2 linked regions of the Coturnix japonica genome follow. The protein of the gene in region 1 binds, or shares a complex with, the protein of each later gene. Links are inferred from orthologs where the notes say so. Each region holds a gene or a part of one and is shown in the gene's direction. Other genes may lie near its edges.

Region 1 (4,239 bases):
GCCTTTTTCCTAATATCCAACCTGAACCTCTCCTGTTACAATGTGAGCCCAAGTTACACCCTAGACTTGTTCTAATACTTTTCTAGTGGAAACACTGAGCAATTAAAATCTCAGTAGTTCAATTCAGGCTGAAATGGGGTCTGGTTTCTTCACAGGTGTAGACTTTTGCCACTCAGCACTGAGGATAACAGACACTTAGTGCATCTCAAGATGTCGTTCAAAACAACTGAGTCATGATGTAGGCCTATAATCTCAGTCCCATGTTACCACACCTTGAGCTATGCCAGAAATTCAGTTTCACTCATAAACATTCATGTTGGGCCCAGGAATGCCATTCCCAGCACTAGTTCACACAGCTCCGTGTGCCACATCAATCCAAGGGGCAAGGCGAGCAGTATCTCTGCTTTGTCTCTTGACACTGCAAAACCCAAAGATATTTGGGCCCTTGAATTTCCTTTGTCCCCTACAGGATGATTTCTGATTTGGCAGACTGCTAAAAAACCACCAAGAAATGCCTGTTTTTCTCTTTTTGCTCTAGGACTGATACTGTCCTCTCTTCAAAAATGAGATGGATTCGAGACACCAGATCTGTCGTAACTGGCACTTGCACATCAGCTGGGACACTCTGTGACTGCTTTACATGATGTTCTCATACTTCGAAGGGACTCGAGTCAGCAGCTGTTGAAGATGCTCAGGGTGTGTGTCCCAGCAGAATGCCCTGCATCGTGCCTTCCAAAGCCACCCAGAGGGCTCTTCGGACTCTGTGCAGTGGGAGGGGGAGAAGTTGTGTGTTCTCAATCTCAGCTCAAACTCAAAGATTCCCCTTTTGCCTTCACCCCTGCGGCTCACTCATCCAAGAGCACCGTGGTGTTGGGTTTTTGCAGCTCACAGGAGCAGTGGTGCAGGTGGCCTTTAGCATGTACCCTGCAGCCTGTGGCTCTGTGTAGGTGCAGGGTTTTTACCTGCAGCTCTGGGGAAGCAGCCCAGAGTTGGCACGAACGGAGGTGGTGCCAAGCCTATAATATAATTCCAACAAACAAATTGTTTTACTTCTTTCTTTCTTTCTTTCTTTCTGTCCATTTTTAATAGTAACCACCACGTTGTGTTCCGAGGCCCCTCCACCTCCTGCTCTCTCTCCCCGCTCTCAGCACATAGCGGTGCCTTCAGTCTCTTGGAGGTTCTCCTGCCTCTCAGGACTCGCACTGTCGGGGCACACACACTCGGAGCAGCGACACACTCAGCGCTCCCTTCGTTCCGTGCCCCGTCCCGCAGCGCTCCCCGCCCCGCCCCGCCTCACCCAGGCCACTTTCTTTACCGAGTCCCCGCTCCCCTTCCCCTCCATCCCCTCCATCCCCTCCATCCCCCCCCCAAACCGGAGCGCGGAGCCCCGCAGCGCTCAGCCCGACTCACCGCGGTTCCCTCCCGGCCGCGCTCTGCCCCCGGCGCCGAGCTCTGAGCTGCCGCCTCGTTTCGCTTCGCCTCCCCCTCCGCCGCCGCCCGCCCCAGCCCCAGCCCCAGCAGAGGAAATATTGCAATGTTGCAAGCTGACGTAAGGACATTACAAGGAAAGGGCTACATTTCGGAGTGTTTATGAAAAGCCTCGGTACTGTACTGTCACCAGGGGGCATGCAATAGAATGCATTTCGCCAAACATTTTGAATAATAATCATTTAACAACAACAACAACAAAAAAAGCCCCGGTCCGGTCGGCGCTCGCGGAGCCGGAGGAACCATGCAGCCAAACTTTGCGAAGCCCTTTCTTATTTTTCTGACATTGCTCGCTCGCCCTTGAGGAGCCGTAATTGCATTATCTGATTTTTTTTTTTCTTTTTTCCCCCCTTCTTTCTCCCCCTTCCCCCCCCCCCACCTCCCCCCCCTTTTTCCCGCTCCGTCTCTCGACATCGCAAATTCGCTCGCGTTTCGGAAGGAGCAGCCGCCAAAGCTACCGAGCGGCAGGAGCCGCCGCCAGCCCCGCTCGCCTCTCCGCGAGTCCGGTGTTGTTTTGAAGGGAGCTAACATGGCGACGGTGCCCGTCTATTGCATCTGTAGGCTGCCCTACGACGTAACCCGCTTCATGATCGAGTGCGATGCCTGCAAGGACTGGTTTCACGGCAGGTAACACAAAGAGATCGGGCCTTTTCCCCCCTTTCGCCGCGGTCTCCCCCTCCTCCTCCTCCTCCTCTCGCTCGGTGCCTTTCGCCTCCTTTTCTCTCCAGGGCAGAGCGCGGCGATGGTGCCGTTGGAGCCGCCGCCGTGTGCAGTTTTCCAACAGGCCTTTTTGGAGAGGAGGAGGAGGAGCCACTCTGCCCCCGTCTCTCTCTCCCTCCGCGTTGTATTTTTTTTTTGTTTTGTTTTGTAAATTTGCCTTCAATTCCCCGCACAAAGCTCCCCCCCCCCACCCCCCCCTTCCTCCCCGGGGCTCCGGTGTCATTGGGGTGATGGTGGTTATGGATGGGGGGGGGGGGACATTGTGCTTCTTTCCTCGGGGCGAGCGCCGTGGGGTGCGCGGAGCGGAGCGCGGACCGTGCCGCCGGCTGCCGGCTGTATGAGCCCGGCTATGGGGCCGCTCCGCCGGTCGGGAGAGGTCGGGCCGCGTCCCGCAACCTCCCGTTACGGACACGGAGCGGAGGGGAGAGGGCTCAGCGTCCCGGGTCTCGGCCGCGCTGTCAGCGGGCTCCACGCCCGGAGCTCCGGGCCGGGCGAGCCTCACCCTCTCGGGGATCTCACCCCCCCCTACGAGCCCCGCCGCCGCGCTCCACGGCCCTGTCGGGGCAGCCGGGTGTTTCCCGTCTGACAGGGCTGCCATCTCCGGGCCGGCCCTGCGGCTTTAACCCTTAACGGGGCGGCGGGGCGGGGCGCGGAACGGGCGGAGGGGAAACGCGGGGCCGCGGAGGCTCCGCAGGGCGAGGGGAAGCCCCTCCGAGCCGGGAGCCGATGGGGGCGGGAGGGGAGGGAGAGAGCCGGCCCTGAGGCGGGGCGGCGGCGGCGGCGGCCGTGCGGGGAAAACCCCGGCAGCACCGAGCCCGCCCCGCTCCGCACGGCCCCCGCCTCGTAGGGAAGCGGAGAAGGAGGGGCTCCATGCGTTGCCCCCCGCCCCGCAGCCGCCGAAGGGCCCCGCGATGCCGCCGGGGGAGTTTGTTTAGGGCGGACAAAGGAGGACTTCGGCCCTAGATTCATTTCGCCCTAAAGCTTTGTCATGGAAAGCGAGAGCGGGCGGGCTGTTGTGCGGGAGACAATGGCAGAGCGGGCGCACTTGAGTTAATGCTGCGTGAAACTGAACTTCGGGGTTGTTGGTTATTCGGTTTTGTTTCTTTTTTCTCCTTCCTCCTCTGCTCGAGGTGAGGAAGTTGGGGAGGGACTCGAGGATTGAGCGCCCAGCTTTGCTGTGAGATGTGAGCTGGAAGCGATGCTGGTTGTACCCGAGCAGGACAGTGATGTGCCAGCATCTGCCGTGTGTCCCGGGGATGGTGCTGGGCTCTGCGGTGAGGCTGTGAGGCTGTCAGGGGATCTGACCTACAGAGGGGGCAAAGGGCCTGTGCTCAGCCCAAAAGTAGCCCCCAGAGGTGGGTTTTACAGTGAGCAAAACCGAGGCGACCGTTCTCCAAGGGAACCTTAAATTATTGGGGAAGCGAGGTGGCTGATGGAGTAAGAAACCACCTGTATCTGTCCCTGTTTGATTTGCTCGGTACTGTATGAGCCAATAAATCATCAGCTCAATATAGACATCGGGATTTGGTCATGGAGAGTTGTCTCTTTCCTGGGTGCTCAAAGCACTGTTGGTGTTAATACCTGTATAGGTACTGTACTGTAACTAAAGTGACTGAGTGTGCAAAGCTCTGAGCTCTCACAGAGGTTTGCCCACTTAAAACACACACACAGCACATTGCAGGGAAAAATAATAAAGCTGTTCCTGTTTCAGTTCTATAGAAGCAGATCAGGGGTTTCGTGCTTCCTCCCTGACAGTAGCTTCCAGATATTCCAGCACCTGCTTCTACAGGGTTCTGTTCACACAGCAGCTGTGGTCCCCATCCCTCCTAATGCTGGCTGACATCTCTGTGGCACTTCAACAGTCCTGATGGTACATTTGTATGATTCAAAGGTGAAAAATAAGTTAAATTTGCTCAGTGCCACTTAGAAGCTGCAAGCAGAGCTAAGCTGTCACCACAGTTGGAAAGTGACCACACTGCAATGTGTCCTGAAGGAGTGCTGGGAGGGCCAGGCCGGGTTGTTGGGGCCTTC
Region 2 (4,154 bases), on another chromosome or scaffold:
GTTAACCAGTTTATTTTATGAGATGCCAGCTTAGAAGGATTCATGCTGTAGTTCGATCTCTATCATTTCAGACATTCTTGTAGAACTATATTGGAGATGTGATTCTTTATCTTTCATAGCTAAAGTATCCAACTGCTTGAATAATATAGTGCGATATGTATATAGGGTATTTAACGCTACTCTAAGGCAGCATTCAAACCCTTAACTGCTATACTTGTAGTGCACACATATATTGGATTACTCGTTTTGTTTAAGATTAGAGATCTTTAATTGAAAAGATTGAACATCCTTTCTGCGGAGGAGAATCGAACACAATTACCAAATCTAAGATAATTTTAAAAGCATGTTTGAAAGTTGCAGTCAGTGCATTCCAGGAATCCACTTACTACACATTACATGATAATGAGAAACCCATACAATGTTTTGATAGTTTGGTCAATACCTGCTTTTTCTGAAATCTTGTCAAAAAATTAATAGTATGCAGTGGTCATCCAAGAAGAGTTGTGGGATGTAGTTAACTCTTGAATCTCCTGCTATAGCAGTATTAAAGCAGATGCATTCACACTGGCTAAACAAAAGCCCAACCCTTAGTGTACAGAAGGATAATACAAGAAAAGTCTCTGCTCTGAGGAAAAGAAACAGGATTTGTGTATCATATATGTAACTTTTGCTTGAAACTGAATTGATTTTTCAGGCCAAACAGACTAAAATCAGAGGTCTGGGCTTCTCTCTTTATGTGAGAAAGTTTTCTGTACCAACTTTAGATGGGATAGCATTTATAACATTACTTTAAGTCTCTACGGCCTTGTTCTCAAGACCGTTTTCAGAATGTCATTCTGAAGATCATCTTTTCTCTGCAGTTCAGATAATTTTGTTTTGGAACTAAGAGCAACTAAATCATATTAAATTAAAACGGGATTAGTGTGTAGAATTTGAATATTAATTAAATTTCTCACTCTGTTTTCCATATTGGCAACTTGAAATGTTTTTTATGACCCCAGTAGTCTGGTATTAACCAGATAGTATTAAGTTTTAAGGTCCTATCTCAATCTTCTCCAGGTTCATGTGGGAGCATGTTCCACTTCTTCTGAGCAGTCTTTTGGGTGAAGTAAGATTCAGCAGCATTCAGAATAGCTCGGATCCTTAAATATCTGCAGGATGCCTAGTGTAGATTTCTATTATTCCCAATTTAGCGTAAGCTTTCAAAGGAATCTCGTGCTGAACACACTGTGTAAAGACAGCTCTTGGAGAGCGAGCTCAGGGACTGCACCTCCCATCATGTCCCGCGTTCCAGGAGGGGCGGACCGGCAGAGCGGCTGTATCCAATGGACATGAGCGATACTGGGATGTGGGCGGTGGGGCGGGCGGGTCGCTGGAGAGCTGCGGGCAGTGCGGGAATTTCGGACGGTGCGGAAGGAGCGGCTGGGCCTGGGGCAGGACGAGGTACCACGAGCGGCGGCTAAGTTGGGGTCGCTGCGTTTTCTTCTTCTTTTTACTCGTCTTTCTTTAGGCTCCGAGCTCTGGGCCGCCTTCCCCCCTCGCTTTCGGCCTGCCCTGCCTCCTCCGTGCTGGCAGGTCTGCGTCTGGGCTCTCTCGTTTCCCTTTTTGGGTAGTACATGAGGCCTTCTGCCGTTCCAAACCGGGGGAGCCTGTCCGGGCCGGCAGCGTGAGGAGAGCGGAGGCTTCCAGCTCCTGCAGCTTCCTCGTCGTCTGTGCTGCTTTTATTTGGCGGCGGGGCCTACAGGGCTTTCCTTCATGTTGGTGAGGTGAGGGAGGAGGAAAAGTGTCGGCAGCAGCTTGTCTTGTTCAGCCTAGAGAAGAGAAGGTTGCGGGGTGACCTCATTGCAGCCTTTCAATACCTGAAGGGAACTTACTCCCAGGAGAGGAGTAAACTCTTCGAAAGGGCTGATAATAGCAGGACACGGGGAAATGGTTTTAAGTTAAAAGAGGGAAGATTTAGGTTGGATGTCAGGGGGAAGTTCTTCACTAGGAGAGTGGTGAGGCCCTGGAACAGGCTGCCCAGGGAGGTTGTGGATGCCCCGTCCTTGGAGGTGTTCAAGACCAGGTTGGACGGGGCCCTGGGCAACCTGATCTAGTAAAGTTAGTATGTTTGGTGGCCCTGCCAGGCAGGGGGTTGGAACTACATGATCCTTGAGGTCCCTTCCAACCCGGATAATTCTGTGATTCTGTGATTGTCACCTGCAGGAGGATCCCTGCGTGGCCAACGCACTAAATACTGCCATGGCTGCAAAGCATTTCTGAGCTTTGCTGTTCAGTAAGCATACATACATCACTGAATTCCTCCATGTAGAAAAAATGGCACCCACTGTCATTCACTGCTGTTTGCTGAACGTTTCTGCAAACCAAATAGCAGGTGAGAGTGCAGCTGAGCGGTGGGTAGTGTGTTTCAGCAGTGAGTCACCTCCTTTGGTGCAAATTGTTAGCAGTGTGGCATGCAGGCTCTTGTTTATTGCAGGCAAAAATGCACAGCTCATGGTGATGACTGTGTTGAAAAACAGTCTTTTAGAGTGGAGAATCTGCTCTATCAGCTGAGTGGTAATGTGCGCTTTGTGTCTGTCGAAGTTTCCATGGAAATAAATAGGAGGCATTACTTTCAGAGTTATCTACATGGTATTCCTCTTACATACAAACCTCCAAGTCACTGATCATTGGCTTTAGGATCAGGGTAGTTGTGTAACAACTGGACTAAGCTGGTTCTGGCAGTAGTTGTGGTTTTCATTTCCCACGTCTTGCCCTTTGCATTTCTCTTTGAGGTGCAATGGCAGACGTGTTCAACTTGGTTGTCTTCTTGGGTTTTCAGCTTGTGCTTAAGGCTTTTTTTTAAATTTATTTAATTATTTCACAGTGATACACAGTCCTTCTATATCATTAACAATAATATGCAAACTTTTGTGAGACTTCCTGTAGTTATTACTGTGTCAAAAGACTGGTGCCTTCTTTGTGTGAATAAATTATCTCCTTCGTTTTCAAGAATAATCCCTCAGTCAGACCTAGATGTCTTGCCATGACTGATGAACGTTATTAATAAACACGTATGTTAAAGGTATTTCCGGAATTGTCTGTTCATGAACAGGAGCACAGGTCAGCAGCATGACTTCTCACTGTTGGGAGTGAAAATGGGCCCAGTTGAGATCACCATTAATAAAAAAGACAATTTCTAGAGAGCGAAAAGAAAGATCATGAGGAAATCAGTCTTACTTGCCACACAGCAGAATTACATCCTTCAAAATAAATTGGATGTATGTTAATTACAAAGTTTCATTGCAAATGGACGCCAGCACAAATTCAGAAGTGGCTACTTAAGTTTCTTCTAAGAGTTTAATTATACCTAGAGTTACAGCTGCTGTAGATGACATTTGTAAAGCTAACAATACTTCTGGCACTACCGGTACAAAACTGTCTGCATATCTCAAGCATGGTTTATTTTATTTCATCCAAGATGCTTTTTTTAGGAAGGAGAAGAAGAAATTGCCTTAATGTTACTGAGAATCTTCCAGCGAGATTTTAGGCAAATAGACTTTGGCTGTTTACATTTGTTGGAAGTCAGGTCTTTGTCTGGAACACAGTGTAACCACATAAAATGCTGCTGTTTACAGTCGCACACCTTGTTCTTATCGGGTACCTTAGCTAAGTGGGGTCCTATCTATTTGATGCTTGTGTGACGATGTACTACTTGACATCTATGGCAACCTTTTCAGGGAACTCAGATGGTAGCGGGCACTAATGAACTGAGCTTCATGATGCCTGTAAAATAGAAAATAGTTCCGTTTGCTGATGGGGAAGTGTAATTGAGTTGCAGGAAAGGGAAAGGTAATTTTTGAAAATGTAATTTTAAAGATGATTCCAGGGAAGAGTAGATGACTGTATTTCAGCTGTTGAAAGTACAGGCGGGCAGTTCTGCATTAGATTCGCAGGTTCATAAGTTTCCTGACAAAAGCCTCATCTTTGGTGTTTTGTGAGCTGACAAAAACGTAGAATGGCAGAATTCGTGCTACAATCTCAGAATCTGTTTATTTATTTTTTAAATCTTTTGCTATCTATTTTGTTTTTCAGTTTTGTACTTTTAACGTAGGAAGATTTTGCTCTCTAAAGGTCTTTCAGCTTTCAATCAGTAGAATGCCTTTGAGTTGATT

The links. The genes of interacting proteins can lie anywhere in the genome.
Region 2: the proteins of PHF2 (region 1) and VRK1 are in contact, whole or in part, in a crystal structure (PDB 8F8Y), measured with the Homo sapiens proteins. The link is inferred for Coturnix japonica from reciprocal best matches to the Homo sapiens genes PHF2 and VRK1. Residues at the interface, in NP_005383.3 of Homo sapiens: Tyr7, Tyr14, Val16, Thr17, Arg18, Phe19, Met20, Ile21, Glu22, Trp29, Glu39, Ala42, Ile45, Asp46, Tyr48, Lys64, Tyr145, Ser147, Glu150, Lys175, Val178, Asp179, Tyr182, Ser183, Thr184; in NP_003375.1 of Homo sapiens: Pro2, Arg3, Val4, Lys5, Ala6, Ala7, Gln8.

What each region holds. Positions count from the first base shown.
Region 1 is NC_029527.1:4,437,613-4,441,851, reverse strand, and holds the start of PHF2 (lysine-specific demethylase PHF2), read left to right. Parts: upstream 1-1,432; 5' UTR 1,433-1,534; coding exon 1,535-1,549; exon of another isoform or gene 1,550-1,603; intron 1,604-1,927; coding exon 1,928-2,115; intron 2,116-4,239. UniProt on the Homo sapiens protein: Lysine demethylase that demethylates both histones and non-histone proteins. Enzymatically inactive by itself, and becomes active following phosphorylation by PKA: forms a complex with ARID5B and mediates demethylation of methylated ARID5B.
Region 2 is NC_029520.1:42,292,097-42,296,250, forward strand, and holds the start of VRK1 (serine/threonine-protein kinase VRK1), read left to right. Parts: upstream 1-1,347; 5' UTR 1,348-1,443; intron 1,444-2,205; exon of another isoform or gene 2,206-2,374; intron 2,375-4,154. UniProt on the Homo sapiens protein: Serine/threonine kinase involved in the regulation of key cellular processes including the cell cycle, nuclear condensation, transcription regulation, and DNA damage response.